Xenopus tropicalis: one gene and its partner. The protein of the gene in region 1 purifies or fractionates together with the protein of each later gene. This does not show direct contact. Links are inferred from orthologs where the notes say so. Each region holds a gene or a part of one and is shown in the gene's direction. Other genes may lie near its edges. The genes, in order: arcn1 and copz1.

Evidence for each region.
Region 2: the proteins of arcn1 (region 1) and copz1 fractionate together in Homo sapiens (co-fractionation; 5 studies listed by BioGRID and IntAct, with this or other methods). This does not show direct contact. The link is inferred for Xenopus tropicalis from reciprocal best matches to the Homo sapiens genes ARCN1 and COPZ1.

Annotation. Positions count from the first base shown.
Region 1 is NC_030683.2:80,549,569-80,552,998, reverse strand, and holds part of arcn1 (coatomer subunit delta), read left to right. Parts: intron 1-191; coding exon 192-403; intron 404-542; coding exon 543-707; intron 708-1,360; coding exon 1,361-1,526; intron 1,527-2,159; coding exon 2,160-2,307; intron 2,308-3,087; coding exon 3,088-3,196; intron 3,197-3,430. UniProt on the Homo sapiens protein: Component of the coatomer, a cytosolic protein complex that binds to dilysine motifs and reversibly associates with Golgi non-clathrin-coated vesicles, which further mediate biosynthetic protein transport from the ER, via the Golgi up to the trans Golgi network.
Region 2 is NC_030678.2:145,584,068-145,588,520, reverse strand, and holds the start of copz1 (coatomer subunit zeta-1), read left to right. Parts: upstream 1-1,636; 5' UTR 1,637-1,724; coding exon 1,725-1,742; intron 1,743-4,453. UniProt on the Homo sapiens protein: The coatomer is a cytosolic protein complex that binds to dilysine motifs and reversibly associates with Golgi non-clathrin-coated vesicles, which further mediate biosynthetic protein transport from the ER, via the Golgi up to the trans Golgi network.

The DNA of each region.
Region 1 (3,430 bases):
AAGATGATGGTGCTGCATTACTTATTGGATTTGCTGAGGGGTGCCAAACATTGGCACCCCCAATGAAATTTCTTTCAACTGACAAAAATAAAATGCAAGCCTTTCGCTAAAGCATTTTTAAGAGTAAAACTGTTTTCTGTTATATAGATATTGGAGTTATTCATGCACCTTTCTTTCTGCACTCTTTACAGACACAGGAAAGAGAAGCCAAGGCAGAGATGCGACGCAAAGCCAAGGAGCTTCAGCAGGCTAGAAGGGATGCAGAGCGGCAGGGCAAGAAGGCTCCTGGATTTGGAGGGTTTGGAAGTTCGGGTGGTTCCTCCATGTCTAACAATGCAGTTTCGCTGATTACAGAGACCATTATAGAACCAGAGAAAACAAAGAGTGCCCCTGTTCCATCACGGTATACAAGCAAAATACAATTGTAAAGTGTTATTGCAAACCAAATGAACTGTATAATATTTAAAATGATGGAATGGGAATTGTAGAATTATGGCTTTAAAAAGGTTTTTATGTGCAACATATTGTCTTGCCCCCTGTAGGCCATCTGGTTCTGGCAAAGCCCTGAAACTTGGAGCTAAAGGGAAGGAGGTGGATAACTTTGTGGACAAATTAAAATCTGAAGGAGAAACTATTGTCACCCCTTCATCTGGCAAGAGGCAGTCAGAAGTGGCCAAGGTGCTTGCTCCTCCCGTGAACATGGAGAGGTCAGTGTTGGGAATTTATGGGGACAGGAAGTCTGATATTTTGTAATATCAGTTGTGGTGAAAGAGGTTTTATCCAGTATTTTCTTTGTATATATAAAAACAGTTATTTATGCTCAGTATTTTGCATTTCTTATAGAAATTAGATTGTGTGATTTAAGTGGGAAGAATTCAATATTTGTTTTCTCAACATTTGAAGAAAGGCTAGCAAAGGCAGAACAATCAAAACTTCACAAATTATTACAAAAGGTGCGATTTATTTGATGACCGTATCCCTTTAGCATTCACATTTGTTGAGAGGGGATGAAATGCACCATTTTAGAGAAATCCATTTATTGATTAAAAGCTCTATTCTCTGTTATAAACTTCTATGCTGTATGTATACAGTTTGCAACAGCTTTTTAGATTTTTATGTTCGAGCTGCCTGTAGCAAACCAACATTTTGGCAGCTTATTATTTAACATGTTATAAATTGTTGGTAACCACTCTCATGTTAAAGGACTTACCACAATAGCAAACTTAGTAAAACTTTAGTATTTTGTGCTAGAATCCCTACCTCTGCTTTGCATCTCCCAACAGGGTCTTTGATTTTTCTTTTGGTGAGCAGATTTGTGCTGTTTTTGACTTCTGAGTATATTCTTTATTTTCATCTACAGTGTTCACTTGAGGGTTGAAGAAAAAATTTCCCTTACTTGCAGCCGGGATGGAGGACTTCAGAATATGGAGGTTCACGGGCTGATTATGCTCAGAGTGACAGATGATAAGTTTGGCAGGATCCGTGTGCACATTGAAAATGAAGATAAAAAAGGAGTACAACTGCAGGTTAGGAAGCATCTGTATTTGAATTACTGAAATAAACTGTCTTTCATGGTTCACAAATGGATTAAAGGAAAAGTCAATCGAAAATATATTTTTTTGCCTGATAAAAGAAAAAATTGTAAGCAACTTTGCAATATACATTCATTACTTTACCTTTTCTATTATTTTCCCTGGTGGCTCTGGCATTTGAAACAATGTAACACATGCCAGCAGACTGACAGACCTGTCTTGCTGGAGCAGACTGACCTTTGCAACATTGTTTAAAAAGTAAATGCTGCTTTCAATAGCAATTTAATTTATAAAATTTTTCAATTAAAAAAAAACTTTCACATTGGAAAGTTGCCTGGAATTATGTTTTCTTTAATTAGGCAAAAAAATTTTTTGAGGGTTTTCAAGTCCTTTAATATGAGAATTGAATGATCAAACAAGTATACTAAACATTTGTATAACATGCTTAGTACACTGCTTTACAGTTGTACTGAATAGTGCTTGTTTGTAAATTAAATGATTGGTTGCATGGCTGAAAAACTAAGAGCTGAAGCTCCAGTTTTAAATGGTCAAAACTTTTTGTAGACAGTCTAAGGTTATGGATGGCTGCTACATATTGTTTTGTATAACTTCGCTTTCTTGTCTCAGACTCATCCCAATGTGGACAAAAAACTTTTCACTTCGGATTCGGTAATTGGGCTGAAAAACCCAGAAAAATCCTTCCCTCTGAATAGTGACGTGGGTGTCTTGAAGTGGAGACTGCAGACCACAGATGAGTCTTTTATTCCCCTCACCAGTAAGTACTGTGTTTTAACATTCAGTGTGCTATTATGCAGGACAGTATTAACTGCAGATCCTTTCATGTACACTTTTACGTGGTTTAAGGTTGCAGACAGGACATCCAAATTCAAACTATAGTCAATTGTTCTAATACACACTCAGTAATAGGAATAATTAGCTGTACACAGCATGTAAGATACAAAAAGTATATGTTGGTAAAGTGAAAAAAACATGCATTTATTTCTCATAATATAAACTTCAGCAGTGCAGGCTAAAGGAAAAAAAATAAAAAAATAAAATGCTTTAAAATGCTGTTTTTTATACCAACCGTACAACACCTGGCGAAGATAAAAACAATAATCCATGCCTTCAAATTTCTATGCAGCAGCTCCCCATCTGCTCATTAGGCAAATTTTTGAGTGTAAGTGACACCGCAAATGCTAAGGGCAAGGGCACACAGTATGTATAGATCCGCTTCTCTCGGTCCTGCTACAGTACAGTAGCTGCCTAATGTGGGCACGCAGAGCTCATCGAAGGTCGGCCTGGAAAACAACTGCTTTCACATTTATCAGGCCCACATCTGACATTTTTGGCAAACTAAATATTTTCAAACTATTTTTTTATTTTGCTCAGCCTATCTAGTTACCCAGTTTTATTTTTACACTGAACTGTTCCTTTAAAGAACAGACTGTACAGTTGCCATCTAGCAAATGCATTGAATGTTTGTGAAATTAATTAAATACAGTTGCTAACAAAACTTTTTAATATGTGTTCAAATGTCTTTTTCTTACCTTAGTTAACTGTTGGCCATCAGAAAGTGGGAATGGCTGTGATGTTAACATAGAATATGAACTCCAGGAAGAAAGGCTGGAACTGAATGATGTTGTCATTACCATTCCTCTACCGTAAGTGATTCTAACAAGGCACAATATAAAGCAATTTAGATAGTAAATATGGGTTTAGCAATTGATTCTCATTATCTTCTTGCAAGCGGCTTATTCATATGGTCTTTTCTCCTGTAGGTCCAAATATAAGAATGCTCTTCAGTATTAATATTGATGTATTCTGTTTTAAGCTCTGTCTGCTGTTAACTAATGTCTGCATAATAATTGCTTGTTAGCAAGTTATATTAAAGGGAT
Region 2 (4,453 bases), on another chromosome or scaffold:
CTTCTGAAATGGAAGGTAGAGTTGGTCCTGTGTCTGAAGGCAGTGCTGCTTGCACCTAGCACTAAGATATGTATAAAAGGGGTGGAAAATGGCCATCCCCTTATATTACTCTAATTTTACATTATTTATGGCAGTATGTATTTTATATATAGACATCTGAGTTTCCATGTCTAGGAAACCAGCTTTAGAGGGGCCATCCACAGTTTACTATGTAGATTCACCCCCCCCCCCTTTTTTGTCTTTCTTGCTTGATATCGACCAGGCAGGATCACTCAAGAGCTCCATATATGGGCCAATGAACAATTAAGTGTATTAATGATAACGTTATCTATTGTATTGAATGCCTGTGTGGCCTTCAGTAAATAGGGAAAAGGAATAGGTAGTTATTAGAATGAAAAAACTAACATACAGAAATATTAGTAAAGGTTTATAAACTAGAGTTTCCAAATCTCGAACTCAAATATCTAAATAGGGATTCAATATTGGAAAATGATTAATGTTAAAATAGGGGGCTGTGAGATATTATAAGAATAACCAGGGCTGCCATTGCTATGTGGGGAAAGTTACGCAAATTGCCTAACGTACATATAAAGTTATGGCAAAACTAAATCAATTTACGTAACTTAAACCTGCCTAGAAACTTGTGTAACTTGCATAAAAACTTGCGTACAAGCAAAAGACAATGCAGAGAAGGGAAAACTCCAGTAACCACCAATGAATGGTAAATTCTACCTCCCCCAATGAACTGACTTATTAGCACATTAATTATTCATTTTAACCATTTATATGAACTGCTTATTATAGAGTAATATCTCTGTTTTTATTTGGGATCTATTTACTGAATTCTATGAGTATTCTTTACATTAACTTTTCAGCAGTGGAATGACTGGTTATTGGGCCCCACAGCAACATCATTGGCCCCCTACGCTTATGCAAGTTACTTTGAGAAAACTTACATTTAAACTGCACTGACCCCTAATGAAAAGATTCACTTATTAGCACATTATTATTTTTACTGCTTTAAAAAAGTAAAGTAAGTAGTTTTCTCCAGAAAAGGTGGAAACCCTAACCCCTTTGCATCACCCACGTCCCCATACATATCTCTCCTTACATCCTAATTATGCTTATGTGTTTTCCTTTTTGTTTCCTCTTGTTGTTTGGGTACAAAATCCTGTATATAAGAACCAACATTGCTTCTTTGTAATCAGCTTTGGTGAAGGAACTCTTTGCTGAGATTATCATCTTAGGCAGCCAATACCCACAACACATCTACGCCACTTTTGTTATGCTTCATGTCAGAAGTTTCACACTACAACTTTTTCAACTGGCTAACATAGTGCAGAACACTGGATTGGAACCAAGAGCACTAAGCACAGTTTTTACGCAAAGTCAACCGACCTATCAATTCATTCCAATGTCCGAGCTGTAGCGTAACAGCAGGGTGGAGCTTTAAACTATTAGTGACACAGTAATTTACATCTATTTCCTCCGCCATGGTAACCATTTGCCCAATAAAAGCAGCTTCCGCTTCCAACGTAGACGCATTCGTGTTCCGCCTGTCAGTGACTGAAACCATCAACCAATTAAAAAGCTTTAGACGCTATTAGCCACACCCTTCTTCTTCCTGTTCCAATCAGACTGAGCGAGGAGGCGCGGCTAAAGTTTTGATTGGCAGATGAATTAGCCAACGCGCGCTTTGCTCCACGTCAGCAGGATAGAGAAAGATGGATGCTATACTGTTGGTGAGTGAGGCCGCGGAAATAGCTTTGATTTTAGTGTGAGGGGGCCGGTAAAACTTTATTTTTCTATGGTGGTTGCAATCGTTTGTTTAGCTGGCCAGGCTGCTGTGTAGGGACAGGGGACGAGTGGTTAGGGTCTGTCAGTGGCAGGCTTTGGGCTGTGACTCCCAGCATACGTTCAAACGCTAGGGTAGCTATTCATTTTGGGACCTGTAGGAGATATCGTGCAGCAAAGTAGTTACTTTTTGTCATTCAGGGATGTTGCACCTGAGCCTTACGCCATGGTGAGCCTGTGCCAGGGACCCCCTATTGAATGGCAGGACTGGGCAAGGGCTGCTGGCACAGAAATAATAAAAAATATCTGGTAGTGACATTTTCTGAATATAGTGTGCCAAACTCTATAGTGCTATACCCCTTCTGATATTCCTTGTGTGGGTGTGTGTTTCCTTCCTAATCTGCCTGATTTTTATGTAGAAATAGTAGTAGTAGTAATAGTAAATAGTAGTAGTAATAGTAGTAGTAGTAATAGTAGTAATAGTAAATAGTAGTAGTAGTAATAGTAGTAGTAGTAGATGATTGATTGGGCTTTTAAGGAAAAAGAAAGGTGTCTGGGCTATTCTGAAATCTCTTTGGGTTAGACTGGACAGGCCTGGCGCTTATGCATGTCAGATTGTTGCTATTAGTCTATTTGCAGTTTAACAACAGCAGTTGGGCTATGGCTGATGGTAGAAGAAATATAGAACAGTTTTAACACAATACAATATCTGTATCAGGCATTTAAACTCTTAACAATTTTTTTTTGCAGGATTTTGTTTCCCATGGGGTATTGCATATCCCAGATATAGTTTTATAGAATCTCTCTTTACAGGTTGTGATTAAAGGGTATTGTATTGGGTAAAAACAAGAAAGTTCTAGTGCATTATGCACCTCAAAATCTAGAATAAATGTGCTGAGAAGTTTTTGGCCGATTTATTGAAAATGTATCCAAAACCCTACTAGTCCTACCCATTTTTTCCACTTCCCACTGCCTTCTTTCCCAGACCTGATAGGGAACTGAAATCGTCATTTGCGTGTGTGATTGGCTATGCCCCTCCTACTGTGCTTCTGGCAGGGACCATTAGGACATACCCCCCCCCCCCCCACCACCACTTGAAACATGGACAGGCAGATCCATAGGAAGCTTTAATAAAAAGGCCATTTTGTAAAGCTAATGATTATTTTTATCTCAGAGTGAAACCTGAAACCAGCACCATATATTTCATTTATGCTATATGTCTACTTTAAACTTAGTGTTTGCCGTGTTTATCTACTTTTGAGTGACTGTTCCCCCAAATATTGACGCATGGCATGTAAGTTTCTTGAAAGAAATTCATTAGGAAGCTTTAATAAAAAGGCCATTTTTAAAGCTAATGATTATTTTTAGCCCAGAGTGAAACCAGCACCATATATTTCATTTATGATATATGTCTACTTTAAACTTAGTCTTTGCTGTGTTTATCTACTTTTGAATGACTGTTCCCCCAAATATTGACACATGGCATGTTAGTTTCTTGAAAGAGAATCATTGTATAAAGAGGTTGTTTGGGAATTGAGAAGAACAGGTAACATCTGCTAGCAGAGTCAATGACACCTTGATAGGGACTAACTCAGTAAAGAATTCATACATGCCTGAATCTATGCTCTGTTTTTATTACTATTCCATGTTTCTTCCTTTTATATATTCCCTTTAACAAGAATATCATACATTGCTGTCTTTGAACAGTAGCATAAATTATATTCTCAGTCAGCACCCTAGGCATAAACTGAACAGAACAACTAAAAACCAAATAGTTTAATACTGACAGTATCAGTTACCACTCACAAATTGGAAAGTGAACGTGTCCATCAACCACAAATAAAAGGTAGAACCAGAACAGGCATTAAGTGCTAACGCTTTCCAAACTCCAGGTATAGCACAGTAAATTGGCTCCTTTGTGTTTGGACAAACATGCAAATAATGACTTTCCTATGGTAAGTGGTAAACCATTAATTGAATTCAGGGTCATCGGTGTTTCCCAAGGGGCATCCTCGTCTGGTGGTTGAACTATAAGATGACTGAAAAGCAGGGACAACGTGCTAAATATAGTTTGTTATTGAAATATAAAATGGAATATATTGCATTTATCTAACTAAAAGCATCATGCGCATTTCTAATACAGAGAGGTAGTTTAACAGGTTTCCCCAGAAGAACAGTAGATAGTGGGTATCCAACCCCAGCTCTGATTCACACAGGGAACATTATTTGCAGTTCCCTCTCAGGTCTGTCTAGCTGCTGATTGAATGGCATCCTACAATGCAAGTGCTGAGTGCCACATAATCTCCTTCTCAACCTGGGAAAGCAGCAGCTCAATTCGGTGAATGGTGCTAGCAAGTTTTTTACATTTACGTAACTTTTTCAGCAACACCAAAGGAAACTTAAAGGTACATACATGTATTTAGAAGTGTATAATGCAATGAAAAAATGCTTCTTCTTGACACCATTTGTCCCCTTTAAGTATAATGTGAGAGGTCTGCTGGATTTCAAGCCTTTCCCAAAAAATATTGTCTACCTGGATTTAGAATTTTCAGTGTCAATTTTAACCTGGAGGATAAGCCCCAGCAAGGATTTTCCTTCTGTTACTTTTATTACAATTGAATAATCAGAGTGAATTACTAATTGATTGCTGTGGGTTACT